Oryzias latipes: one gene and its partners. The protein of the gene in region 1 purifies or fractionates together with the protein of each later gene. This does not show direct contact. Links are inferred from orthologs where the notes say so. Each region holds a gene or a part of one and is shown in the gene's direction. Other genes may lie near its edges. The genes, in order: rb1, e2f3, hdac3, e2f4, arid4a, kdm5a and nucleophosmin.

Evidence for each region.
Region 2: the proteins of rb1 (region 1) and e2f3 purify together in Homo sapiens (affinity purification with western blotting; 9 studies listed by BioGRID and IntAct, with this or other methods). This does not show direct contact. The link is inferred for Oryzias latipes from reciprocal best matches to the Homo sapiens genes RB1 and E2F3.
Region 3: the proteins of rb1 (region 1) and hdac3 purify together in Homo sapiens (affinity purification with western blotting; 3 studies listed by BioGRID). This does not show direct contact. The link is inferred for Oryzias latipes from reciprocal best matches to the Homo sapiens genes RB1 and HDAC3.
Region 4: the proteins of rb1 (region 1) and e2f4 purify together in Homo sapiens (affinity purification with western blotting; 10 studies listed by BioGRID and IntAct, with this or other methods). This does not show direct contact. The link is inferred for Oryzias latipes from reciprocal best matches to the Homo sapiens genes RB1 and E2F4.
Region 5: the proteins of rb1 (region 1) and arid4a purify together in Homo sapiens (affinity purification with western blotting; 3 studies listed by BioGRID). This does not show direct contact. The link is inferred for Oryzias latipes from reciprocal best matches to the Homo sapiens genes RB1 and ARID4A.
Region 6: the proteins of rb1 (region 1) and kdm5a purify together in Homo sapiens (affinity purification with western blotting; 4 studies listed by BioGRID and IntAct, with this or other methods). This does not show direct contact. The link is inferred for Oryzias latipes from reciprocal best matches to the Homo sapiens genes RB1 and KDM5A.
Region 7: the proteins of rb1 (region 1) and nucleophosmin purify together in Homo sapiens (affinity purification with western blotting; 3 studies listed by BioGRID and IntAct, with this or other methods). This does not show direct contact. The link is inferred for Oryzias latipes from reciprocal best matches to the Homo sapiens genes RB1 and NPM1.

Annotation. Positions count from the first base shown.
Region 1 is NC_019872.2:15,916,388-15,919,887, reverse strand, and holds part of rb1 (retinoblastoma-associated protein), read left to right. Parts: exon of another isoform or gene 1-113; intron 114-1,734; coding exon 1,735-1,850; intron 1,851-2,031; coding exon 2,032-2,186; intron 2,187-3,368; coding exon 3,369-3,500. UniProt on the Homo sapiens protein: Tumor suppressor that is a key regulator of the G1/S transition of the cell cycle. The hypophosphorylated form binds transcription regulators of the E2F family, preventing transcription of E2F-responsive genes.
Region 2 is NC_019874.2:11,042,039-11,046,094, forward strand, and holds the start of e2f3 (transcription factor E2F3), read left to right. Parts: upstream 1-1,256; 5' UTR 1,257-1,596; coding exon 1,597-1,878; intron 1,879-1,916; exon of another isoform or gene 1,917-2,191; coding exon of another isoform or gene 2,192-2,203; intron 2,204-3,929; coding exon 3,930-4,050; intron 4,051-4,056.
Region 3 is NC_019868.2:25,322,757-25,326,990, reverse strand, and holds the start of hdac3 (histone deacetylase 3), read left to right. Parts: upstream 1-1,434; 5' UTR 1,435-1,568; coding exon 1,569-1,623; intron 1,624-2,528; coding exon 2,529-2,611; intron 2,612-2,698; coding exon 2,699-2,841; intron 2,842-2,935; coding exon 2,936-3,017; intron 3,018-4,234. UniProt on the Homo sapiens protein: Histone deacetylase that catalyzes the deacetylation of lysine residues on the N-terminal part of the core histones (H2A, H2B, H3 and H4), and some other non-histone substrates.
Region 4 is NC_019864.2:28,153,448-28,157,702, reverse strand, and holds the start of e2f4 (transcription factor E2F4), read left to right. Parts: upstream 1-1,455; 5' UTR 1,456-1,535; coding exon 1,536-1,700; intron 1,701-4,255. UniProt on the Homo sapiens protein: Transcription activator that binds DNA cooperatively with DP proteins through the E2 recognition site, 5'-TTTC[CG]CGC-3' found in the promoter region of a number of genes whose products are involved in cell cycle regulation or in DNA replication.
Region 5 is NC_019880.2:2,469,968-2,473,961, forward strand, and holds the start of arid4a (AT-rich interactive domain-containing protein 4A), read left to right. Parts: upstream 1-1,194; 5' UTR 1,195-1,543; intron 1,544-1,574; exon of another isoform or gene 1,575-2,368; intron 2,369-2,377; exon of another isoform or gene 2,378-2,481; 5' UTR 2,482-2,530; coding exon 2,531-2,536; intron 2,537-3,636; coding exon 3,637-3,747; intron 3,748-3,994.
Region 6 is NC_019881.2:6,893,977-6,896,930, forward strand, and holds part of kdm5a (lysine-specific demethylase 5A), read left to right. Parts: coding exon 1-109; intron 110-1,436; coding exon 1,437-1,565; intron 1,566-1,652; coding exon 1,653-1,800; intron 1,801-1,889; coding exon 1,890-2,110; intron 2,111-2,356; coding exon 2,357-2,833; intron 2,834-2,954. UniProt on the Homo sapiens protein: Histone demethylase that specifically demethylates 'Lys-4' of histone H3, thereby playing a central role in histone code. Does not demethylate histone H3 'Lys-9', H3 'Lys-27', H3 'Lys-36', H3 'Lys-79' or H4 'Lys-20'.
Region 7 is NC_019872.2:18,726,462-18,729,672, forward strand, and holds the end of nucleophosmin, read left to right. Parts: coding exon 1-43; intron 44-1,264; coding exon 1,265-1,316; intron 1,317-1,397; coding exon 1,398-1,478; intron 1,479-1,566; coding exon 1,567-1,674; intron 1,675-1,759; coding exon 1,760-1,834; intron 1,835-1,945; coding exon 1,946-1,996; 3' UTR 1,997-2,711; downstream 2,712-3,211. UniProt on the Homo sapiens protein: Involved in diverse cellular processes such as ribosome biogenesis, centrosome duplication, protein chaperoning, histone assembly, cell proliferation, and regulation of tumor suppressors p53/TP53 and ARF.

The DNA of each region.
Region 1 (3,500 bases):
TTTTCTCTTGACTCCAAACAGAAAAATAGCTGATCTTGTTGTTTGCGTATCAGTTCAACAGCTCTGTGGATACGTCGCAGGTGTCGGTCTGTTCCTGTTATAGAGTATTAGCTGCCTCGCAGCTGCATGGAAGTCAAAGGTAGAGACACAAAGGGCTCAGTGGACTGTTGAAATATGGGGAGGAGTCTGCCTGTGGACTTAAGTTCTCCCCCTACTGTTCACTTTTACTTTCACATGAGATAAAAGTTATACATCTCTATCCAAATCAAAATAATTAATAAAAATGTCAATATCTGTCAGTTTTAACCTTTAGATTTAAACGTAAAGTTGTCTTACTATGACTTTCAATTCTATACGCGAATGTTTCATGAGACATTCAAGATTTGTATCTCATTTGACTGTCAAACAATAAAGGAACTGCTGCAGGACATTGATAGATATTATATCTTTACAGTGCAAGTAATGTCCTAAGTTGTTGCCAAACATTTGAAAAAGTAAATTTGTAACTTTTGAAATGTTTCTGGCGTCAGCAGGGTGTAGCTTGTCATTAGGAATGCACTGTACTCATACTGCTTGTACTCAATCGTGTCTGTACCTGCAGCTGCTGAGGTCATAATATGTAATAAAACACCAGCCCTACCCCCATCTGTGAGCTCAGGCTTTTGTCAGTTTACAGATTTCATAACTAAGTTAATACAAACTTTTTAAATCAATTGCTTGATTTTTTTTGTCATAAAAAACAGCAAACAACAGTTGTAAACAAACCACATTTTGGGAGTGTCCAACATGTGGTTTTATCTACTGTACTTTGTGTTTTATCTGGCCTGTTTTGCTAGTGAAATGAGATGTTCACATGTTGTACTTTCTGTGTGTCACTGTTTGTTCTTCTTTTTGAGGTACAACAAAGAACACCATTCAAGATTTACCTCAAAATCAGAATTTCTTTAATTCAAAGTTAAAGTCTCTTCTTATTTTTTGCAGCACAGCGATTTCTTTGTGCAAATATACATTTTTTAGAGAAAATTTGAATGCAATTATTTTACTAGGGCACATTTATTTTTATTTTTGTTATTAGCATTTAATATCGTTTCAGAAACCAAAATAAACTTTGAGTTTGAAACAGACTGGTAGTTATTACAGGTGTGTATCTCTGATCGCATTTTTCTTGTTTGTCAGTTTGTAGTTATTTCATAACTCCCCTGCCTGATGCCGATCCTTTAAATCTTGATACGTGTTTATGAAAGGAGACTTTACTTCATCTGTTTTGGGTTCTCAGCAAATAAAAAAAAATGTTATACTTCTTTTAAGAGTGCGTTTCATACTATTTTAAAAAATAACTTGTTCTAAAGTTTATATACATCTGCACATCAATCTATCAGTATAAAACACAAATCAAATCAGATAACAAGAATGATCAAAAGAACATTTACAAAATAGAGCCAGAAAGAACCTGATAATCTATTTCAGTAAAGATCACTTTTATCATAGAACTATGTATTTTTGAATCTATTCTTACAGCCTTGAATATTACTGATAGCCATAAGTTATGTGAGTGACCATGACTTGAACATGAATGATGACCAAAAAAACTATAATTCCTTTTTTAGCTGATTAAATGTATCGTTTTAACCTGTATTTTAATGTCTTTGTGTGCATTTCATAACACTGTGCGGTATTTTCATTCTGGTTGAGGTGAAGTTTATGATAAAGACTTAAATGATTCTGTTTTTGTAGGGCTCCCCTTTGTTTGAGCTGCTGAAGCGGGAAAATGAAGCTGGAGCCACAGAACAGGCCGAGCCCCCGGCGAGTTTCAGCTTACCTCTGCAACACAACCACACGGCAGCTGACCTGTGAGCCAATCTTTCCCTCAGCTCACACGGAACTGTTCTAAACCTGAAATATATGTTACTGTTATGAATGAGGACAAATCGTCAGTTCATTTGTCTTGGTTTAAATGCATGACTCAACACGGGGCCTCCTTACTTGTGGTGGAAATGACGCATGCTTCTTTGGCTTCTTCTCCATCTACAGATATCTATCCCCAATTCGCCCAGGTCTCCGTGTCTTGCCTCCTGAATCACCAGCCACGCCCAGCTCTCAGGCTTCCTCTCAGCCGACACCTCAGGCAGCAGGCCAAGCTCCACGGCAACCAAAGTCTAACTCTCTGAGCCTCTTCTATAAAAAATGTAAGATGTTTCTGTGATTATTTCCTTGATGTCAGTTTAACAAGAGCTATTGGTGCTGGTGGATATTGGTGACAACAAGTGAGACTTGGCTTGGCTGTAGTAAGGCTTCATCGTCCATCAGAAGAACAGCTCATGTGAGATGTTTTAAAAAAATAAAAGGTTTTGGACACATTGAGAGTAGGGACAGTGGTTATGCTGGTAAAAGGCTGCTTAACACCAACAAAGAGACCTAGAGGAAGACCAAATAGGAGTTTCATGGTTTTAATAAGGAAGTTTATGTGAACGAGGAAGAAACAAAGAAGAGGGTTAGATGGAGGTGAATGATTCACTGTGTAACTCCTAAAGGGAACAGCTAAAAAAAACAAAGAACGTGTCTGTAAGGAGTCATTGAATGAATGAGTTAAGCTTTATTTATATATCTCTTCACAACGCCTTCAGGGTATGAAAGTGTTTTACAATAAGAGACCACAGAACATTTGAAATTAACTTAACTCTTAGTACAACAGATTTATTGTCCAATCAGAGACAGACATCCATCTACATAATCTAAGAAGATGTTAAAGTTCCACTTTGATCGTATTTTTATCTAATGTAAAAACCTATCCTGTGTGTCCAGCCGTAGTTCTGAGCCACATACCAGCTCAGACAAGGAAAAGGAAGATGTTTTTGGATCTCTTTGTCTATAAGTGGATGAATCAGAATAGAACAGAGCAGGGAGCTTGTGTCCGCCCAGTGTATTTTCTATGTAACAAATACGATCTTTTTCAAACAGCATTTTTTTCATCTGCTCCTGATTCACAACAGCTTGAATAGAGATATACTCAGAAAATGAATTTTAAGCTAAATTTTCTTCACATGTCCTCCATCATCAGAATTATGTCACAAGATCATGTTAAAAACACCCAAAACACCATTTTCATCAGTGTGGGTTCTTGTTGAGTCCCTAACATCCTTTAAGCTACAGTTCTATATTACCTATTTTGTTTTAGCTTACTCACTTTTTGTAGTTCAAGGCTTTTATTAGTTTACCTGGAATTGGATGAATCATACATCTAACTTCCTGTTAGAATTTTGTTTTTTGTTTCATTTACAAATAACTTTTTATTTTCCTTATTTTTAAACTAGTTTGAATTGGGTCGTCCACTGGTAAAACGGAAAGTTCCTCTTTTTCTATTTCTATAGTGTATCGACTGGCATATACGAGGCTGAAGACTCTTTGTTCCTGCCTGCTTTCCAACCACCCGGACCTGGAGCACGTTATATGGACTCTGTTCCAGCACACGCTGCAATATGAGTATGATCTAATGAGGGACC
Region 2 (4,056 bases), on another chromosome or scaffold:
TAGGAACTGGATGATGACAGTTAATGTTTAAAATTAAAATAAAAGGTTCAGAAAAATATAATAAGGGTGGGATTATATCGGGTTGCCTCGCTCCTTTTCTGTAAGGATTCTGTGGTTTTGTTTGGTTTTTGTGACTTTTGGTCAGGTTCTGAGATGCCCTCAGTCACACCAGTTCCTCGTCCATCATGATCCATAGATGTCGTGATTTTAGTTAATTGCCCTCAGCCTATTTAAGTGCATGGTTACAAGTTCTGCCTTGTCAGGTCACCTTTTTGTTGCGCCGTGGGTTTTGTCAATTTTCAGTTTGTTTATTAAATGTTTTATTTTCTGTCACCAAGCCTGGTCTCTTGCATTTTGGGTCCTCCATCACCAGTTCCTGACACTTTCAAACAATTAAATTCGTTTGGACAATTTTAATATTTAATGGTTTCAATGTGTGATGTACTGTAGGTCTAAGAGCATTTAGGACTGTTTAGGATTCATTGTAAATATAACTGCATTATTTACAGGTGTATGTGGATGTATGTGTGTCTATTTTTCAATCATTTCATGACAAATTATCCAGTTTGATATTGGCTTATCTTTGTATTATGTAGTTATATATTTCTGTTGATTGTCGTCTTTAGGTTTATTTTTGTTTTGATTTTTGTTATACACCATTTCCATATCCAAATGACATCAACCAAAAGCTGGTGTCACAGTGGTTTTTAATGTTGTACATAATTGTGATTGTTGTTTTTTTCTTTCTACATGAGAAGAAGCAGTTTATAGCATTTTTTAGGGTGTCTCTTTGTGATTTTACTATGGACATAGTAAAAAATGTTTCAAATATTGCACCATTGAATTGAATATATTGAAATGTAAGATTGAAAATGCATGCAGTTTTATTCACTCTTAAATAAAGGTTAAACTTATTACCCAACTTTTAATCACTTCTAACTTTAAGCGCCAAAATACACATAAATATCTTTGTCGTTTAATAACAAAGAATTAAAATGATTTTTATGGTTATTAACAAATCTATTACCTGCTTTCTTTACATTGGCATTCATATTTTTGAATTGTTTCGTTCCGTTTCGAACAGCCTTACTGTTTGGAGGAAAATGTGTTGCTGGCGCCACCTGGCGTTTACATCTGCAGCATGCAAGGCGTGACAAGTGACGCCACATGTTTACAACTGCCAATGAGCACGTGGCGAGACGAACTCTGTCCTCCAATTGGCCGGTTCGGTCGGGATGTGGGCGGGAACTCCTGAGCTAAGGCTCAATGGCGACGGACATGTAAATTTAGTTTGAAAATTCCCCGGGAAATCTGAGTTTCGCGGGAGGGCTCTTGAGCGCGTAAACCGTATCCCTTCATTCATCAGGCCGTTTCCTGAAGCCATTTCTAGTCGGTGGAAACGAGAGTTGCGCTACTTTTAAATCCGATGCATCTGCCTAAATGCACCTTCTTAAGGAAAATTTACTTTTAAAAGTCGATCATTCAGACGTTTATCTACACTTTGGGCTGATTATTTTTGAAATCATTGCGACGGATTAGCGGCCGCACGGGCTTAAAAGTTGAGAGACAAGAGAGGGGTTACCCTGAATACGCAAGATGAGAAGAGGGATCTCCTCGGCTCCGGACAAAGTGATTTTAGCAGAGGTCGGGGGTTCTCCTCTGGACAGTAATATAATTTTAACAGCTCTCGCGGATCGTTTGAACCCCGGTCAATCTAACGCTACGTATATCCAAATAATAACCACACCACCGCCTTGCAATATTACACAGACATCAAATGTGTGTTTATCCGAGGCTCAGGTCAACAACATTTACACAACTCCACAACAAGCGGCGGCGAACGGAGCAGGACAACGACCCGCTCTGGGGAGACCACCGGTAATAACACTCAACATTTTTCACGAACCCAACATAAGTACGACAAATGTTAGCTCGCTAGCTAGCCGAGCTTGTTGTTAGACAGCTAACGTTAGCTGCTTAGCCAGGGCAATCCCACGACTAGCGATGTAGCTAACTAACTACCGCTAGCTTAAGTTACCCAAACAGGCTGATTTAGAGTCTTTTCGTCAACTTTCTGGGGGCAAAACGCCAGCTTTAGCTAGTTTTGCGTGTACAGAAATGCCCCCCTGCCTTCTAAGATAAGACTCGCTAACTTCACCCAGCTCAGGGTCCTCTTCACCTTTGCAGCCAGATGGAAGTACTGGTAAGAGATGAGTAACGGTAGCGCTGGCCTAGTAGCTGCTGTTGGTGTCTTTATGTGGGATTGGAGACCTTGGTTGTTGAGTTTTTCGGCCCTTTTCGTAGCTTTCTACCGACATAAGAGGAGGGGAACCTTCCTAAATTTGAGCTAATGCAGCTGCTTTGTTTCGAAACTACTCAATAGATTCCTCCAAGTGGGCAAACCAACTTATAGAAATATTAGCTTTCCAAGCTAGTAGCGCCATAAAATTAAATTTTTGTCAAAAATAACTCATTGCTTGCCTTTCCCCCCCTTTATTTTGTCGTCTGGTTTTGACGTCCTCTGTGACTTAAGTGACATTTTAGTTCCTTTCAAGTGAAGGAGAAGTGAAACCCGAGCTTGTTGCTTTGGAACTAACTGCACGTTTCATGTGTTCTTCTCTCTACATACATGCATGAACCGCAGATAAACGAGTTCAGAAAACATTTGGGTTTCTGTGTTCTCCACATTTCACGAACCCCCCCCCCCCAGCAGGCTGCACCTCAGACTGAAGCCACGAGCAGCCAGACAGACTCCTGCTGATTTTTTTAAAATGGCTGACACTTTGAAGGATAAATTATATGCCATTGCAAGTTTAGTGGAAGATGCATCTTCTCTGTCCTCTGAGGAGGAATCATCCCCTAGATTCATTTGTTTGAATCATATTAAAGACCCCAACACAGAAAACTGATGGTTTCTGGGTCCAACTCCATAGATTCTAGTTGGGTTTGTAGGTTCAGGAAACAGGAAAGCAGCAACTCTGCTCTTTATAGTCGCTCTATTATGGATGGTTACCATGAAGACAATAAAGTCTCACTTGATTTGATTTCTTTTTATTTGTAACTCATACAATACATTTTGTGCGTACTTGCAATTGTGTGTAAAATTGAATATTAAAAACTTACAAAAAGTAATTACAGTTTCTGCACACGCACCTGGAAACTACTGCAGCCTAATCTAATGAAATGGTACGGACCAATCGCCTGACACACACACACACACACACAAAACCACATTCACACACACATCAGATTTGAGACCCTGTTGACGTCTCCAGATTTGTGTGTAAATAATGCGTTTAAATGCTGCTAAAAACACGAGTTCATAGGAGTGGGGTCTTTAACAATGACTTAAGTGTGCCATTACAATGTTTTATAACATTTATTTTGGAGTTTTTGAATCGGGATATCCTGTATTTCTTTTTTTTTTCTTTATTTTATTTACGGTTCTTTTCCCTCGGAGACCATCATGACGGTGTCTTGTTTTAAAGCTGCTTGAACGCCAACTGGTCATGAAGTTTGAGGTGAAATGATGGCCGTCCCGCTCTGATTTTCAGACTTGTGCATTTTTGTGGTCTTTCACACAATCTGGATGCATAGATCATACATTTGTTTAGATTTTTTTAGAATATGGTTACACACATATCCCAAAGAACCTGCTGATGTTCAGAATGTCATATGTCCGTTCTGAGCCACAGCTGCCCACACGCTTTGGGGTAAATTTCCGTCCAGATGCTGCCTCTGCACCTCTGTTCATAGCAGTTGGTTTCAGGGGTGGGGGCGAGCCCCTCCCCTAACCTGATGTAAGTAATAGTACTAATGTTTTGGGAATCGTCTGACAATTCAGCTTCAAACTGAGCTGAGCAACCCTGGAGATGAAACTACCAGCATCTGTCAGAAAACCATATTTTCTTATAACCCTTTTCCTCCAGGCAAAGAGGCGGTTGGCTCTTGATGAATCAGACCACCAGTACCAGTTAGAACCAGCCAGAACGCCACGCAGCAGAGGGGGGGGCCCAGCGGCCAACGGGACGCGCATAAAGACACCCAGAAGTAAGG
Region 3 (4,234 bases), on another chromosome or scaffold:
TTATATCACTAGAGGAGACATGCCCGCTTTAGAAGCCTGGCCGACGGTGGCGGAGCGCGACGCCATCTTGGTGAGGTCGACGACGCCCACATGACAATGATTTCTATTGCTTTTAGAGGTGTCTAAGTAGCTTTTATATACTATATATGTTTTTACAATTTATATATATTTATAAATATATGTAAATACATTATATTTATATATATAATATATATATATATATAGATACATCATTTGTTGTTGTTAAAGAAGAGAAACAGTCAGCCTTAAAAGCTCAAACTTTAATGAAAATGCATTGTTGCAGGACTTCTTACAAATAAAAAAATTATTACAAAGAATTAAAAAAAAATAATTTGTAAACATTTAGGAATTTTAGACCTCTTTGACATGTAATTTAAATTATTTAGAAAAACCCAACAATAACTCAATAATAATAATAATAATAATAATAATAATAATAATAATAATAATAAATCAATAGTAAGTCAATACAAACAATAAATAATAGCAATACATACATAATAAGTCAATAAATAATAAAATATAAGTCTATTATTATTATTATTATTATTATTATTATTATTATTATTATTATTATTAATAATAATAATAATAATAATAATAATAATAATAATAATAATAATAATAATAATAAAATAAATATTCAAAAGAATTCCAAAAGTGAACAATAGATTTACCCTAAAATAACAACAACAAAGAAAAATAATAGATTCATGTGAGTGATCAATTTGTGTAACACAGATGGTATGGTGTCAGGTTTCAAGCTAACAGTCTGGCCTCTTATCTAAATTGGTTTCCACAAATGTTTTGAACAGTCAGACTGTATTACTAGTTGGTACCACAGTGATCCATCTGGGTTAGCTCTTTTTATTGCTAAGATCCACTTTTTCCTTAAGTCTGAATAGTGAATAGTGAAAAGTTCGGTCACTGAGTCAGACATGTATAAATCTATATTACTATAATAGCCTAGTATGCTGTATACAGGTTTAGCAAAATAAAATGTACATTTATGTCGACAGCAAATTCTCCGTACATCATGCAGCATGTTGATAATAACCCTGCAGCATCATGCATGTCAACATGTGTTCTATTAATAAAAGAAAAACAAAAGAAAAAGAAAGAAACAAAAGAAAAAAATTATAATACTTTTCTATGAAATGATATACTTCTTCTTTCATGGACTCAGTTCTCTGATTTTGGCAGTTGAAACACAAACAATGAACTGGTATTATGCAAAAAATGTGTTCAAATGCATTCACTGCAGCAGTAACTTGACCTCACCAAGATGGCGGTGCTCTCCTCCCATGAGGAACCACGTGATGTTTCCTCTAGTGATCATCACTCATTGGTTTAAACTCACTCCGCCATCTTGAGACCCCCTGTTCGCCCCTCCCCTCTCCATCCCCTGCGTCCCAGCATGATGACGTCACCTTTAAATGTTTACGGTTAGCCGTTAGCGGCAGGAAAAATGCGGCAGACTGAGCCGCTCTTTAAAAAGTAAAACCTCGCTGAATCTCAGGATTATTATTATTTTTTTTACATTTAAAATGTCTATTAGGACGTCTTACTTTTACGACCCAGATGTGGGAAACTTTCATTACGGTGAGTTTGCTGAACGCTGGGATTGGAGCAGGAGTGCTAATGCAAGCTAGCTGGAGGAGGCTAACAATTCAAACGATTCATTGTTAAAATTCAGCTCCAATTTTGTTTCTGGGTTTAATTAAGATATTTTTTTTTATCTCATTCATATGTTCAGGCCAGTGTGTTGTAGGTGAGTAATGAACACATAACGTCACATTTGGGTGCAAAGGAAAAGAATATTGTAGCGATCCTGCCCACGGCAGGAGTGTATGTAGATACTTAGGGTTATCTGTTGGTGTTTTTAAACCCTGACTGAGTTGGTTATTTCCAGGCAACATATTTGCAATTTGTATTCTATACAGGAATGGGCTATTATACTATATACCAATTAAGCTGAGGAGTACTGATTCTAGATTTAGGTAATAGAAAGGTTAATAATAATTAATTATGTCCTTACCCGTTTCTGTTATCATGAAAACTTTTAGGTCTTAATCACTTCCAGCTGTTTATAATCTCTGAACAGTTTGGGATTATCATTGATTTGGTTTTTTTATTAGTGTGAGCTCAGTTCAAAGCTGCTGTGAGTCCACAAAGAGCTGATCACTGCAGGATAAAAATGGAGACCAAAATCTAAAACAAGTGTTTGTCCCAAAGCATTCACGGCCTCTGATTGACAAAACGATTGTTGACAGAGTGTGATCGTGGTTTCTCTGGTTTTTATAGGTCTAAAAAGAAAAGACAACAACAAACAAACATTTACAGAACCGACAGCTGCAGCAGATTCAAACTAAATGGAGGGATTCTGCAGCATTTTTTTTAATCTTCTTTCCTGTTGGTCGTGAAAACGCGTTGGAAGTGTAATCATGTTGAAATGGAGCTGATGATGAAAAAGTGATGATGCTTGTTGTGAACCGCGTCTCCTGCAGGTGCCGGTCATCCCATGAAGCCTCACCGTTTGTCTCTCACCCACAGTCTGGTGTTGCATTATGGGTTATATAAAAAGATGATGGTGAGACACTCCTGAAGGTCCAGAACCTGCTTCCACTGTTGCTTCGAGATCAAAGATTGAACTCTGCAGTTTCTCTGTGACCGTCAGGTTTTTAAGCCGTACAAAGCCTCTCAGCACGACATGTGCCGGTTCCACTCTGAAGATTACATCGACTTCCTGCAGAAGGTCAGCCCCAACAACATGCAGGGCTTCACCAAGAGCCTGAACACCTTCAACGTTGGAGATGACTGGTGAGCGCTGCTGCTGCTGCTCCTCCTCTTCATCGATCTGTCTTCTGCTTTTGGTTCATGCAAATGTGAGCACTAACCCAACGGCGGGCTCTAGTCCTGTGTTTCCAGGACTCTTTGAGTTCTGTTCCAGATACACGGGGGCGTCTCTGCAGGGCGCCACGCAGCTCAACCACAAGGTAAGCCGTCCGCTTTTCTCCATCACTGGGTTTGTCATGAACCGTCACTCATGGACTCCTCTAGTAACGGATATTCAGCTCCATTTAGGAATTATTCACAGGGTCAGACTTTAAATGTTTACATGATCATAAAGGGCTGCAGATTTTTTACACCACAATCGATCATCATACTGAACGATTTCTCTATTAGACCGAGGAAATATTCCAAACTGCGTCACCCGGATAAACGAGAACCTTCAGCCACATTCAACGCAATCATTTAAAAAAGAAAATGGTTTGCTTATTATTTATCAAACATCGTTACTCACAGGAAGGTCACAAATAAGCTAAATGTTTGGTTTTTTTTACATGTTTTTGCAGCATTAATAGAGTTAATAGTTAAATATTCTGGAGTTTGTAACAAACATAGCAGCTTCAGTTCTTAAAAATATAAAAAAAAACAATGTTATTTTCAAGCTGCGTCTTAAAAAAATAGTTTCAGCAAATGTTTGGGGAAAAAACAGCCAAAGTTGTCAGCATGAAGCTGGAAATGTTTGGAAATTTGCATTTGTCTTCATTTGTGGCGATCTCATTTTTTAACAGCACATTGTGTTCTGCGTCCTGATTCGCTGTTGACCTTGTCAATCAATCTCCTCTGTGCCAAATCATCATCAGATCTTTGTTTGCATTCTATAAAACTGGATTTATTCTCCTAGTGTGCAAATGTGTGAAAGTGAGGAGTTATCCGACTGTCACCACAGACATCCATGGATGTATATCAATCCACAGATATACATACAGAAAACAATATCATTGAGTAGACGTTTGTCATCATCAGGACAGCTGATCCAGTTTTGAGCTGCTTTATAGTAAAACATGGTCCTTCACTGTTTGGTTCTGATTCGGAACATTAAGCTGGTTTGGACTGAAAAGCAGCAGCAAAGCAGCTTTCAATGCCAACCTTTTATAGACATCTTGGAAGACATTTCTAAATCATTTTCTTTATTTCTGTCTAAAAAGAAAGTCCTACATTTCGTAGCTGTTTTCTGTGTAAACAGGGCTTCTTTATTGGAATTAAAAGTTTAAAACGGTGACTCCAGCCGCTCGTTTCCTTTCATCTGAGACAGTAAAAAGACGAAAGATGTACTTTATTGAAAAACCTGGAATCATTGGAGTGTCATTTACCTTTTATTTATAATTATTGAAACTGCAACAGAATAAAAATAAAAACATTTTTA
Region 4 (4,255 bases), on another chromosome or scaffold:
ACATAGATTGAAACCTGGTCAAGGACTGAGTCAGGAACAGCTGTGATGGACGCTTAAACCTGGGGAGAACAGCCAAACTCTGCAAGGTGAGGTTGTGAAAGACATGCACATTTCTAACATCTTGTAGTTAAATTAAAAAATTTTACTGCATCAAGTAACTTATAAACTTAAAGATATGTAGTTCAGGGTGTAGCGGTTCATTTTAACAACAAATCAATTTATATCATGATTTGCTGTTCCTGATACAATTAATAGCCAATATTGGTTCATTTTGAACGATCCAGTTCAATCACTGACCTAAAATCCAGCCAGGACATTTTTAGCCAAAACTTTTAAACCAGTGTGACTCTGGTACTCTGATACTTCTGGCAAGTGTAGAGTTGATGTGTACACATAAACAAGTAAACAAAAATTAAAAGAAAATCCATTCAAATTTTGGTTTCATAAAGTTGTAACACATGACCACATGTCTTTACACAATTCAAAGTGTTTCCACACATTGGACTGTAACATTCTTTTTTATTTTTTGGCTGCCACCACATATGTGTTGTCTGCTGTGATGCACTTGGTCGCTTTTATGTTACGGTAAAATAAACCTACCATGTCTCCAAATGCTATTTTCCAATCTTGACATTTTCGATTTATTTAATTTTGAAAAGATTTTATAATAGTTTGAATAGATAATAGATTAACAACTGCCCTAGAAAATATGTAGAAATATAAAATTGTTTCACTGATTAAGTCGATTAATCGTTACACCCCTATAATAACTTTTAAACTTAAATTATGTGGTAACATTTTTGTGGTTAAAAAAAATAAAGTCGTTAGGATGCAATACTGAACTCAAATAGTTAAATTCAAAATATTTAATTTACAAACCAATGTTTACACAGTACACTAATTCGCACTGCTTTGCAACCTTGAAAATGTTTCAGTCAATGACAATGTGGTTTGGAAGAAAAGCTTTAGAGGGGAAAATAATTTTCAAATATTCATTTGAAGAACGGTGCCTGCGTGTGCGCGCGTGGAAGTGCGTTTTCTTCAAGTTTAAGTTGCTAAGAGTTCGAGTTAAACTTTCTCCTCTACCAAAAATTCTTGCAACCAATACTTCCCCTAAAATCGCAATAGAAAAACTACTAACCGTCTTTTTTCATACTTTTTTCAATGTTACATTAAAAATAAATCACTAGAAATACATGTTCGTGCTAGCAAATGTATTTTTTACGTGGTTTTATTTTTTCATGAACATTTGCACACGGTCCCTAAAACGAAAGCACCGTCCCGTCATACCTCGCGTGGCCAACGGCTCTCCACCGACTGCTCCTTCATTGAATTTCCATACTCGCTGCTTCAGCTCGATTTTGCTCAGTTATTTTCAGAAAAGCAGCTAGTATTGACTCGTAAATTTGCACCACACCATCCACGCGTGTGTGTTTCGAACTGCGGCGGTGGAGCTTTCTTTCTTGGGCTCGCTGGCTGGATTTAGTCGGAAAGCAGGCAAGAGAAGAGGGGAAGTACGGAGCTGATCCGGAGCAATGATGGAGCTGGAGACGGCCAGTAACAGAGGCGACCCGGGAACCGTGGGAGACTCGCTGCAACCGCAGACGCCGAGCAGGCACGAGAAGAGCCTGGGCTTGCTCACGACGAAGTTCGTCACTTTATTACAAGAGGCGAAGGACGGAGTCCTGGATCTGAAAGCTGTGAGCTCTTTGTTGTTAGCTAGCACATGTCACTTTGAGCCAGCCCGCAGTCGTTAAGTTACATGGTATCTAGCTAGCATGCTAGCCTAGCTTAGCTGTGTGACAGGCTAATTTGAATGAAAGATAGCTTTGCCTTCTAAGTTTGTTGTTTTAGTTCACCACTTTTACAATTAAAATCACATTTAATATTTTATGGTGCAGATTTTTGCCTTTCTGAGTGAAGAAACGAAGTGAATTTCAAGAACACCGGTCAACTTTTTTCGACTCTCTGCCCCCCTGCAGATTCAAAGTTTAGAAAGTGGGTCAGCTTTTGTCATTCTACTCTCAGTTAAAGCCACTGCACCTTCACACTTGAGCAAGTTTGTTTTATGATTGATTGCGTCTTTGTCCACGAACGACATGCGTTTATAATGTTGCTTTTCAGAAATGACTCAAAGCGTGAAGTAGTACTCGCACAGATGTTGATTAAATTAGGCTAGCTTTGTTTTTCACAGTACAGGGGCCACATTTCCACATTTCCATCACTAGCTTTAATGCAGGAATGTTTACTATTGGGATTCTGCTAAAGTCCCACATTGTTTGATGTAAAAGCTCAAATAGTTTTCTACAAATACAAAAAAATATATAACGTTTGCACTTTTCATATTTTTACATTAGGGGTGTTACGATTTATTTGAACAATTTGATCCACTTTATAATTTGTGCTTCACGACATGATTTATAGTCCGGGACATCTTTAGCCAAAACATCAATCAGTGGGACTCAGAGATAAATAAATGGGTACTGAACAGTGTCACTTGTATTTCTTGTAAATGTAAATAAAATGGCTTAACAAACAAACAAGTAATTCCCATTTTAGTGTCAAAGTTCAGCCCACTTTTGCCATAGATAGGGTTGTTACGAATAATCAGTAAATCGATTTATATTGCTGCGATCCAACCAGATTGACCTGAAGCAAGTTGTTAATTGAGTCAACGTGTTTTATTATTATAAAATCCTTTCAAAATGAAATAAATCAATTATATGGATATAGGAAAACACCATTTGGATTGAGGTTCTGAAGGTTTATTTGACCATAACTGTAAAAATAACCGAGTGCATCACAGTAGACAACACGCATGTGACGGCAGCAAAGCATGACCAACCATCATTACGGCTCGATGTGTGGAAACATAATTTTTGACCATACAGTGTGGTCATATGTCGCAACTTGATGAAACCAAAAATGTGAATGGATTTGACTAGGGCTGCACGATATAATGAGGAAAACTCGCGGTATGCGATATTAGTGATAAACATTGCGATGAGGATATAACTTGCGATACATGAACAAATAGCAAAACGATCAAAACCATAATTTCCATTTCACTGCAACAGTTTTAATTTAAATAAGAGTTGCCCCTCGTCTACATAGGAGGCCAACATAAAAGAGCTCCATCCCATTGGTCAACCACGTGAAAGGCTCCATCTGATTGGTCAAATGTTTAAATGAATTTATTTGATTCATTAAATACTTCAAGCTGCTATGAGATTGTTTTAGCACTCTTAAGGTTACGATTTATTGCAATTTTTGCAGACTTTTGCATGATATATCATATCATGATAACGATAAATTAGTGATTTATTGTGTCTAGATTTGCCATTCATTCTTGTTTGTGTGTTTGTACACTTATTTAATTTACGCTTGGTTATTTTGCAAGGAATCTGGAAAACCTCCGCTGTGCTGTTCAGTACCAGGTATTTCTCTCTGAGTCCCACTGATTGATGTTTTGGCTAAAAATGTCCTGGATCTATTTTAGGTCAGTGAATCGGATCGTTCAAAATGAACAAATATCTACTATAAATCGTATTGTCAACCACAAATTATTATATTAACCGAATTGTTCAAAAGGATCAATACACCCTAAAAAATGTAACATTCTTAGAACATTCTAGCCCACTGGATGGGACCATGTCTTTGCTAAATTCAAAGTTTTTCCACAAACTGGACTGGAATGACGGTTGATCAGTTTTTGCTGATATCACTTGTGTGTTGTCTGCTGTGATGGTCGATTTTACATTATAGTAAATAAACCTAACGTGCCTCAATCCAAATGGTATTTTCCAATATAACTAATTTATTACATTTTGAAAGGATTTTTTTTTAATGGTATAGGTCGCTTGGATCAGCAACTTGCCTCAGACAGATTTATTTGGTTGGATCGTAGTAATATAAATCAATTTATCAAATAAGTGGATTGATTGTTTCCCCCCTAATGTACATATTTTTCTATAACAGTCATAGAAGAGAGACACTTGAGTCTAAAATCATTTAAATTACAACACACTGATTCTGTTTTGTTATTTTCTTAACTGTCATTTTGACCATTCAGGCATTACATTATGTATGAAGAGTTCTGCTTCTTCTCTTTTTGAGTCTGTCTTCCTGATCATTTCCTTCTTGTGTGACTGGGTTGATATAGTGTCTGCTGATACTCTAAGCTGCGCTGCACCTCGCAGATAAAACACTCCACGCACGTGCACACATTTTTTTTCTTTTTCTTTCCAACTGACTT
Region 5 (3,994 bases), on another chromosome or scaffold:
TACGCACACAGAGACGGCGAGCCAGCCCACGCCGTGTGACGTTCTGTGGCTTCTAGCGCCAAACTGATTTGACAGCAAAACAATGTCACGTCTGTCAGCGACGCTCGCCGTCACGTGTGTAACATCGGGCAATGGAGAGCAAAAAAACCGTAAAACTTAAAATGACAATTGTTGATCTGATCGTGGGGCATTCAAACGTTTCCGGTATTTTAGAGAGTTCTGCGCGTGTAAAAATGAATTATTCTGACCGAAAAGGTGGCGTAACCCTAACCTTAAACGTTTGTTATGTACACAGTTCAATTCTAATCCCATCTTTGATCCAATCAAAGATATTTTGCACACAAAACCGCGGCTACTGATGCCTGGCTCCAACATGACGGCGTCCATACCGCAAAGAAATGGCGACTGAATCGACTTCATTTGGTACTAAACTATTTTTTTATGGGTGCCGTTGCTCAGTCCAGTTCTCAGCTACACTCAATGGTAGTTTTCTTAAAAAATGTTAGGTACGACTCATAGCATCTTTGAATACAACTTGCTGTTTTGTTTAATGTCTGTCAGTAGATTGAAGTTTTTATCCTGTTTTGCTGGAAGGTAAGTATAAATGACGGTCTAAAATCAATACAAGGAAACATCTGAATATTCTATAGAGGTCAGATAGTCTGCTGTGTCAATTGTTTAAAACAAAAAATAGAGTTAATTGACAAAAATTGTGGAGTTTACAGACAGCGATACTGGAAGAATTCCTGACGACTTTTTGTCTCTTTGGCTTGCCATACTCTTCAACGTCCTCGCGGTTAAATGTTTTGACGGACCACGACAGGGGAAAAAACAACGAAACTGAAATATCAGGCGACCTTTTAATAAAAACGCGTCCAGCCATCATCGAGTTGATCATGTGACTCGGTAAAATAGGTGGTTGATGGCGGCAAAGCGAGTCTTTGCGTGAAGCGAATGTTTTGCAGCGTGTGAATCACGGTAAACACGGTATCGACTCCTGGCTTCTAGGCGCACGCGCGTCTGCGACACCGACGGGATTGTCCTTCAAGTTCAGAGCACGAGCACGGGGGGGAAAAAACGTGTTCGTGTCGAAGGTTTTGTGTTTGGTTCGAAGGTTTCTAGCACGTAGCGGGGGGGGGGGGGGGGGCTGGGCTTCCTGTCCTGTCGGTACAAAGAAGGAAGCCGCTTCAGCCAATAGGAACGTAGCGCTGCGGGAACAAACAGCGGACAGCCAATAGGAATCTCTCCCGTTTCTTCCTCACCCCCTCCCTTCACGTGTCACTTTTGCTGTGACTGGACAGCCGGCAAAGCGTTGCAGTATTTTCTCTCGTGGCGCCGTGTTCGTATGGACCAATAGCAGCAGAGCATGGAAACAGCCAATGGAAACGAGAGAACGCACCCACCAATGAAATGTCTCCGTTGTCACTCCCGCTGTCAGCGCAGCCAATCACGTGTCCAGAAAGCCAGCTCGGGGCTCAACAGCTTGTTGTTCGTGTATCGTTTTGCAGCTCGAGCGAGAGGGGAAGAATTCGCGGCAGTGAATGTAAGAACGAATATTCCTATTAACCGATCAACACCGTTTTTTTTACTGCGTAAAGTGTGTCGGAGAGCGGGAAGAAGAGGGGCGCGCGGGTGTCAGTTGAGAGTGGGGCTGGCCGCTGTACGGAGGCTGCCTGGGAACTGAATGGCAGTGAAGAAATGTGGAGCTTCTGCGCCTTTGTGGAAGGCAGAAGAGCCGCTTATTAAATAAATAAGTTCGCGCAGCTCCCGCTCCGTCCGATGACACCGAATCGCGGCTTTTCGGACCGAACCGCCTCTCATATTCGGAACAAAAGCGATGCGTAGCAGTTGGCGGAGGCTTGTCTGCTAGTGGCAGACAGTTTAAATCACCGTGTGATCACTAACTAGCTAGTTGAGACGCTTGTTAGCTAAAATAGCTCGATGTCGCCGCGAACGAGTCGAGAGAGACGAAGCTCGCGCGCGGTTCGCACTTTTCTGTTTCCGTGTCGGGATTCTGTCGTGTCGCAGAAGCCCGTCCGCCCTCGTGTCGTCCAAAAGGCGGCTTTTTTTTCTCTCCCCCTAGCATGGGACGTGGTAAAGTTAGCCGAGCTAACTCGACTGACATGGCGAGCCGTGATCATGGCGACGTGACTCGGCGGCTGTGGGAGCGGAGCGGGAAGTGAAGGGACTGCCCTCCGCGGGGCTTTTTTTTTCTATCCTCTAGTACCGTCGGTCTGGAACCGGCGGGGATTCGGAGCTTACATTTGGCGGACGCTGTTGTTGGCTAAGTTTGTGTCACATATTTTGCCCAGATCCAGGAGGGAGGGGAGGGGAGGAGCAGCAGCGGGGCAGGAGAACGCTTCAGCTAGTGCGTGGCTAGTTGTTAGCTTTTACGCGGCTCCGGTTCGACCCAGCCCCCGCCGCCGTTCGGCTCCCAGCAGCCCCAGCGCCTCACCTCCCGCTTTGCTTTTTGTCTTCCAGAGATCGTAAGCCCTTCGAGCTGGACTCCCAGTAAAACCCGGACGGAGAGATGAAGGTGAGTGTTTTCCTGAAGAAGACGGCGCCCGCGTCCACTCTTCTTTGAGCCCGTCCATCATGGTGGAACCGGCTTGTTATGGCTGTTCACACCGGGCCGTTCACATCGGTTCTGCTCCGATCCCAGTCCAGGTTCAGAACTTTGGCGTTATTTTCGGTATCTGAAACGGAACCGTGTGTTAATTAGCCCGTAAAGCAGTTTCTCCAGACGCTTAAAGGTCAGTCAGTCAGAAAGTCGTCTGTCATTTTGGATCTGCTCCTAAAGTCCAAAAATAGAAACAGAAATCAGTTGTTTTATCTTTAAGAAAAAGGCACTTTTACAAACACCGTTGATCAAAGAGGATTTGTGACAGGATTCTAGAAAAACGTATTTATCCGTTGAAGGAGGAAAACCGAATCTGTCAAATGGATTTATTCAGATTATCTGTAGAATCTGGTGTTCGTCGGCCCGATGCTCGGATGTATATCGCATCAGTTCTAGGCACAAACGTAAATGTTTGGACGGTACTCGGGTCTGGAAGTGTTGTCACTGCAGAAGTGTGGGTCTCCCTGTAGAAGTTCTCCAGCTACACTTTGCTCTCTGAGTCAGGGAGACGACTGCTTCTTCGGCTCGATCATGAGGCCGCCGATCTGGACCTTGGGTCAGTGAGAGAACCCAAACATCGGCCAACCGACGGCAGAAATGCTTTGGACACGTTGTCGGATTCAGACGCTCTCAAAGTGGCGTAAGAACGGAGAAATGGAGCGCTGCAGTTCAGACAGACCACAATACTTATTAACCGGCTGTGTCTCAACAGCAATGAGAGTTTCCTGTTGGTGTCCTAAAGTCCTGATGGTAAAAATGAGTCTCAGGAGCTCCGGGTTGCTTCCCTTCTGACCGCAGCAGCAGTCGGATGTCTGAAGATGTCCTCCATCACGGCACAGATGGTGCCGTGCACATGCAGAGCTGAACGGGCTGCAGTCCACCCTCGCCTGCCAGTTTACTGAACTTAAATGAAATATAAATTCATCGAAGCTGGATTTTTTTTCTCCTCCTGTTAAAATGAAGTTCCATCTTTTGCTATGGACTCTGTTTGAGAGCAGGCCTGTGTTGTGTTTCAGGCAGCGGACGAGCCTGCCTACCTGACAGTCGGCACAGATGTCAGCGCCAAGTACAGAGGAGCGTTCTGTGAAGCCAAAATCAAGACCGTGAAGCGCATGGTGAAGGTCAAGGTAAGACCTGAGGGGGCAGGTGTGCGCGTGAGCTGGATGTGTGTGTGTGATTGTGCATCCGCAGGATGACGACGGCCCAGGAAACGGGATCAAACCACAGCTTATGCAATCACACCAGCTGATCACTTCCTGTCGATTAGTCACAGTAAAGTACATACAGCCACTTGGACACACAAAGTGTGACATTTTACCTCATTAACACAAACGGTTATTGCTACTGAAAGTCTTCAAGTGAGGTTTGTTTTTG
Region 6 (2,954 bases), on another chromosome or scaffold:
GAAGTTGTCCGTCCTCAGCCAGCGGATGGTGGAGCAGGCAGCGCGCGAAAAAACGGAGAAGATCATCAACGCCGAGCTGCAAAAAGCTGCCGCCAACCCAGACCTGCAGGTGGCGCACATATGCCCATTTCTACTAGTTTGAGCCAACTATAATTCTAGTCTTAAAAAAAATGTTTTGTGTGAAATTTAAAGAGCCACTCCGCCCATCTTTTGAAAACGAATTTTGAATGCAGAAGCCCGAAATGCACATTTATGCACGTTTACGCAGACTTTTCATTACAAGTGGCTGCTTGAACAGGCGTCTCCAATGACGGTCTGAACACAGCCCAGGAAATTTGCCTCTGAGCTGTGAGCAAGACCGTTGCGGTGGAGCCAATACACGAAACATTGCTGAGAGATCTTTGTTTACTGTCTTTCCCACTAGCTTACAGCCCTTCACATGTCCAACCTAACATTACCGGTGCAACAAAAATGGCAAGCAATGTTAGAGCTATCCAGCTATACAGGTTTAAACTAGGGGTGCCAAATGTATCACTGCTGAAAAACAATGTTCGGCGTGTGGCGCAATCACCATGCATCGGCGATCTGCCCCCTACTTGCAGTTCCGGCTGCGTGGAAATATTTCAAGTATTTCCAGAGCTAAATTGTCAGAAGGGGTTCATGGGCCAAAGCCTTCACCACATCTGCATTAACTGGGCTAAAAGGAAGGCTAGCGGTGCTAGCGGAACTCCTTCAGTGTCCCACGTGTTTGAAAAGCTGAAAGAATTTGCAGGAAATTGATGTTTTGTGTGAAGACATAGCCTTATATTAATAAAATACACTAGTGCACTCACTGGAAAGACTTGGATAATAAAATATAAAATAAACATTTGTTTTATTTGAAAATGTTGTGTAAAATGTATTCTAGGCTATTTCTGCAATATTAAACAAAAAAAACTCAACATCCTCATTTGATATTCGGTCACTATTCAGTATTCAGCCCAGCGTTTTAATTATTGTTGGGCTTCGGCCAAAAATGTTCGCTTCGCTGCGTCCCTATTTTGTGCCAGATACCCGTTCGGACCAGGAGAATGGGGACGCACATGGATCTAGTGGATGCAAGTGGTGCTTTGGAATGGAACGAGAGATTTGTGGCCGTCATGAGAAAAACACAACAAGAACATGTTAAAAAAAACAAAACAATTTTCATTGGAGTGGATCTTTAACGACTGAATGTTTTTCTGGAAACAACCAGTAGAGGTCACTGGAGTTCAGTCATTTTAGTGGAAAAAAGAAGAACTGGATATTCTTTATTCTTTGTCCAGTCGCCATTTAAAACTTCTTTGATGGTTTCTGTACGTTTTAGGGCGTTTTCCTTCAATTCCTGGTTCCAGTCGAAATCTCTGCAGGTCGTCATTGGAATGTTTGACACGTTCCTGTCTGTGTGTTCTCCTCAGGGCCACATCCAAACCTTCCAGCAGTCCGGCTTCAGCAGAGCCACGTCTCCTCGTCCTTCCGTGGACTACGATGACGAGGAGACGGACTCCGACGAGGACATCAGGGAAACGTACGGTTATGACGTGAAGGTGCGAGATCTGAAGGAGCATTGAACAAACTCCCCTGTTTGTTTTGTTTTTTTAATTCATCTGGTGACGTGGGGGGTGTTTGTGCAGGACCCTGGGGAGGTGAAGCCATATCTGTTCTGTGACGAGGAGATCCCTGTCAAGTCAGAGGAGGTGGTCAGTTACATGTGGCCAGCTGCGACTCCTTCCTTCTGCGCTGAGCACGCGTATTCATCCGCCTCAAAGTCCTGTGTGCAAAGTGAGACCACATCTAATCCTTTCAAGGTGAAAAAATGACCCCCTCAGTTCTTTTTCTCTGATAACGTCAACTATTTATATTTTTGCTAGACGTCAGTACTCCCAGAAAGCAGCCGAGGAAGACCCCTCTGGTACCCCGGACTCTGGAGCCACCAGTTCTGGAGCTGTCCCCGCAGGCTAAGGCCCAGCTGGAGGAGCTGATGATGCTGGGAGACCTGCTGGAGGTGTCCCTGGATGAGACCCAGCACATCTGGAGGATCCTGCAGGCCACGCACCCTCCCTCTGAGGAGAGATTCCTGCAGGTCATGGAGGTATGGAGGTCGTCCGTTATGCAACGTTTATGTCGCCGCTTGTTTTCAGTCGTTCAAGACGCACTGTTCAGAGGACTGTATCGAAATATTAAGAAATATAAAGATTTACTTACTTGTCATTGTCAATAATGAGCAACGAAATCGCGTTTAGAGCATCAACAATTACCCTAATAAATAACCAAAGTGCAACATCAGTACAAAAACACAGCAAAAAGATCACTTTATTTGTTTTCTATGCTTTTTCAGCCCGACAACTTGCTGTTGGAAAAACCTCTGAAAATCAAACACAAAGATTCCGAGAAGAAACGGAAGCGGAAGCTGGAAAGAGCCGAGCACCATCACATGCTGATGGCCGCCGCCGCCGCCGCTGGCGGAGCCTCCGCTTTGTCTGAAATCAGGCCATCCAAGCCCAAAGAGCTGAAAAGAGTCGGTCTGGAACTCGGTCTGGGCATCAAACCGAAAAAGAAGAAGCTGAAACTCGGCCTGGAAAAAAACCGGGAGGTGAAGCAGCTGGCCAAGCGCCTGGCCAAGGAGGAGAAGGAAAGGAAGCGAAAGGAGAAGGCGGCTGCAAAGGCCGAATCCATCAGGGAGGGTCTGGACCAAAGGAAGGTGAAGAAGATCCTGGATATTCCCTCCAAGTACGATTGGTCGGGGGCTGAGGACTCGAATGACGAAAACGCCGTGTGTGCTGCTAAGAACTGCCAGAGACCATGTAAAGACAAGGTGAGGACATCCCTGAGTATGATCAGCAAAACAAAGAGAACGCCGGAGTTATCGCCAAACGAGCAGAATAACTCGCACTCTTGGAACGACTATAACTCTGCGACCATTTACAACCTGAACG
Region 7 (3,211 bases), about 2.8 Mb from region 1:
ACTTGGATGATGATGAAGATGAAGACGATGAGGATGATGATGAGTGAGTATTAACATTCTGACGGCAAATGTTTTCTTTTGTGTCTTGGTGTTGTCAGAAATCCAAATGGTGTTTGGGCCCAAAGTGGCGGGTCCTGGATCAGGTGTTTGTCTCTGAGGTCATTCCCAAAACTACATTCATATTTAGAAATTTGACTTTTTTCCTTTTAACATATCAGACTGTGGAGAATACTGCATGTGATCAACTTAAGCTGTTAATTCGGTGGAAATCCAATTCATGAATCCAGATCCACGATTATCAGATCAAACTACAATAAACATTTTACCGTTTGCACACGTCTATTTACTGGATGTAAGAACATTAAAGTATGCATTTAAAATCATGTAAACGGTACTTTTTTTATTTAAAACGGCAGATAAGAATCAATAAATGAGAAAAAAATAAATGATTTTTATCACTCTAAACGCCAAAGTTTTCTTTTTGTCAACTTCCTGGTTAACTTCAGAAGTAAGCAGCGCATAAACATCACTGTTTTGGATAATTCTGTATCAAATCCTGAAAATGTTTACACCTTCTGACCATTAAAGTTTTACTGACAGTTCCAGTAGATGAATGAAGACACAACACCTAAATAATGATCCTGTAAGAGTTAGAAAGCGCACAGTCCTTTTAAGAGTTTCCTAACTAACACTTTTCATTTGTGGGGGAAATGTCAAAACTTTAGATTTCACACGTTCCAGTGTGTCTTCCCCACAGTGCTAGCAGGCTGTGTATGACATCCCATAATTCATGACAATTTGTGATATTTGAGGAAATATATATATATATATATATATATTTTCACATATATACAGATATAAAAGTAAATTGTTCACTATAGTTAAAACAAAATTACAATGTATATATATCTTTTAAAGCTTTGTTTTTAATAAATGGGTAGTTTACCTGCTCATCTAATGGAATGAGGTGTTTACTTCTTTCCATCTGTTCACCAGCAGAGGGCGCTGCAGCCATATGTTTGCATTTATATATTACATGTAATTATTGTTAAATGAGGCATAATCCTTAAGATAACCCAGATATAATTTAGACGCATGATTAAACACCCAGAGAACGTTCAACCAAAAATAAGAGCCTGGAAATCGAGCAAGAAACAAAATATGTTAAACAATGATTCAGGGATCTATTTTACAAAGTAATTGTAAAAATAATTGGTATTTTCCGTGGTATTAAACTCTTCCTTCTTAAAATTTTTCTTTGTAGGGATGATGATGAAGATGATGAGGAGAGTGAGGCAGAGGAATCTCCTGTTAAGGTAAAGCAGCTTCTGCATCCTTGGTTATATCTTTGTCTCTACTGTTAAATATGTTTTATTTATTGACTGGTTTCTTTGCAGGTCAAACAAACTCCAAACAAGCAGAAGGCCCAGACTCAAAACGGAAAGAGTTCTGCGCCCTCCACTCCTGCGACCAAGCAGGTGATGACAGAGTCCTTCCTCCAGCAATAGGTGCTCTGCGGGGGGCTAAAGCTGCTAACCTTTTACTCACCTTTTTTTTCACATCCAGGACAAGACGCCTAAAGGCAAAGGTGCTAAATCACCTAAAGCCCAGACTCCTAAACCAAACCTAACTCTGCCTGAGATCAAGGCCAAGATTATGGAGTCTGTAAAGAAGGTGGGCGGAGTCTGCTCCATGGAACCTTTATGGAAGACGCTTCAGTTTGTGGGGGAAGTTTGACTTTTGTTGTGTACGTTTGCAGGGCGTGGCGCTTCCTAAAGTCCAGGCCAAGTTTGAAAACTTCATGAAGCATGGACAAAATGTCACAGATGCTAAGGTAACAGGGTCTAGAATCTGGGTTTTCCTGTCTGGAGTTGAAAAGAAATCACTACAAGATTAAAAAAAATGTTTACAATCTTAACAGCTGGATCTTATTTCTTCCCTGCAGGTGATTTCAGAGCTGTGGAAGTGGAGACAGACGATCAAGGAGGAGAAATAGCCCACTAGAGTTTTAACTATTTTATAACTTGTTAATGTCTGTAACGCCTCGCAATCCCGTTGAATTCAGTCTGTGCCTCACCTAAAGTTTTCCTCCACCCGTCCGTCTGTGAAGACTTCATCTGACATCTCCATCTTGTTAAAAGAAAAAAAAACAGCATTTGACTTAATAAAGAAATAACAAGGGAATGCAATATAATGGAAATGCAAGTTTTGGGTAAATTCATTCCTTTGGTTGTCAGCTGTAAGCCCCTGACCACACCCTTTCTTTCTTCATTTACCTTTTAAGTTTCTTTTTGTCTACAAAATAAAGCGTGTTGGATTAGGCATCAACACCTGTTTTTAGTCCTACAGTGTGTTGCTATGGCAACAGTTGGCCCCACAGTCCAAAGGTTTATAGTGAAGTTTGTGAGGACTTCATGCATGAGGATGCAAGTTTTGTGTAATGATTCTAAGAATGAGCCGTCCCCCCTCAAGGTTAAGCGTATCCCGCAGTCTTCAGTTTGCAGTTCCTGTCGGTGCATGAGGCCTGTGGACGAGGACCATTCTATGTCGACTGAATACTGATGGAATTATCATTTCCGCTTTATTAAAAAAGGTGAAAAAACATCTCAAAGTTTATGCTGGTGAATTAATTCACTTTTTAGAACTATGCTTTGTTTTCAAGTAAATTCCTCTTTGTTTTGCGTTAATTTACCAATAAAATTTCCTCAATACCTTTTTGTTTTGTTGTCCTTTGTAAAGATTTGAAACTTTACATTGTGGGCTTGTGTTAAACCACTAGAGGGCGCTTTGAGCTTACAAAGCTCTTGAAATGGGTCACAAAAGAGCAGACGGATCCCTCTGAATGCAGAATCCACTGTGACGTAGTGGTCTGTGCTCAAGTGTTGGTGGCTTTTAGTGAAAACCTGAAATGTGTGGGAGGACATTTTACCCTAAAGCAGGGAGTGCCGGTACAGTCAACGGTCACATGCGCTTTATGAGGAAATGTTTTTAACTGGCTTCCTTTCTCTGCTTCTTTACAAGTGGAAACACGATTGTTGTTGGGAGTTCAGAGACTGGGCATTTCCAAATAATCAATTTTTCATTTATAAGATTGTTATTCTAAAACTGGAAAAGCAGTTCATTCCAATCTGATGTCTCATTTGTATAAGTTTGCTTTTTTTTTTTTTTTTTTAAATTTAAACCAGCCATATATGTTGTTGGCATTTTATTT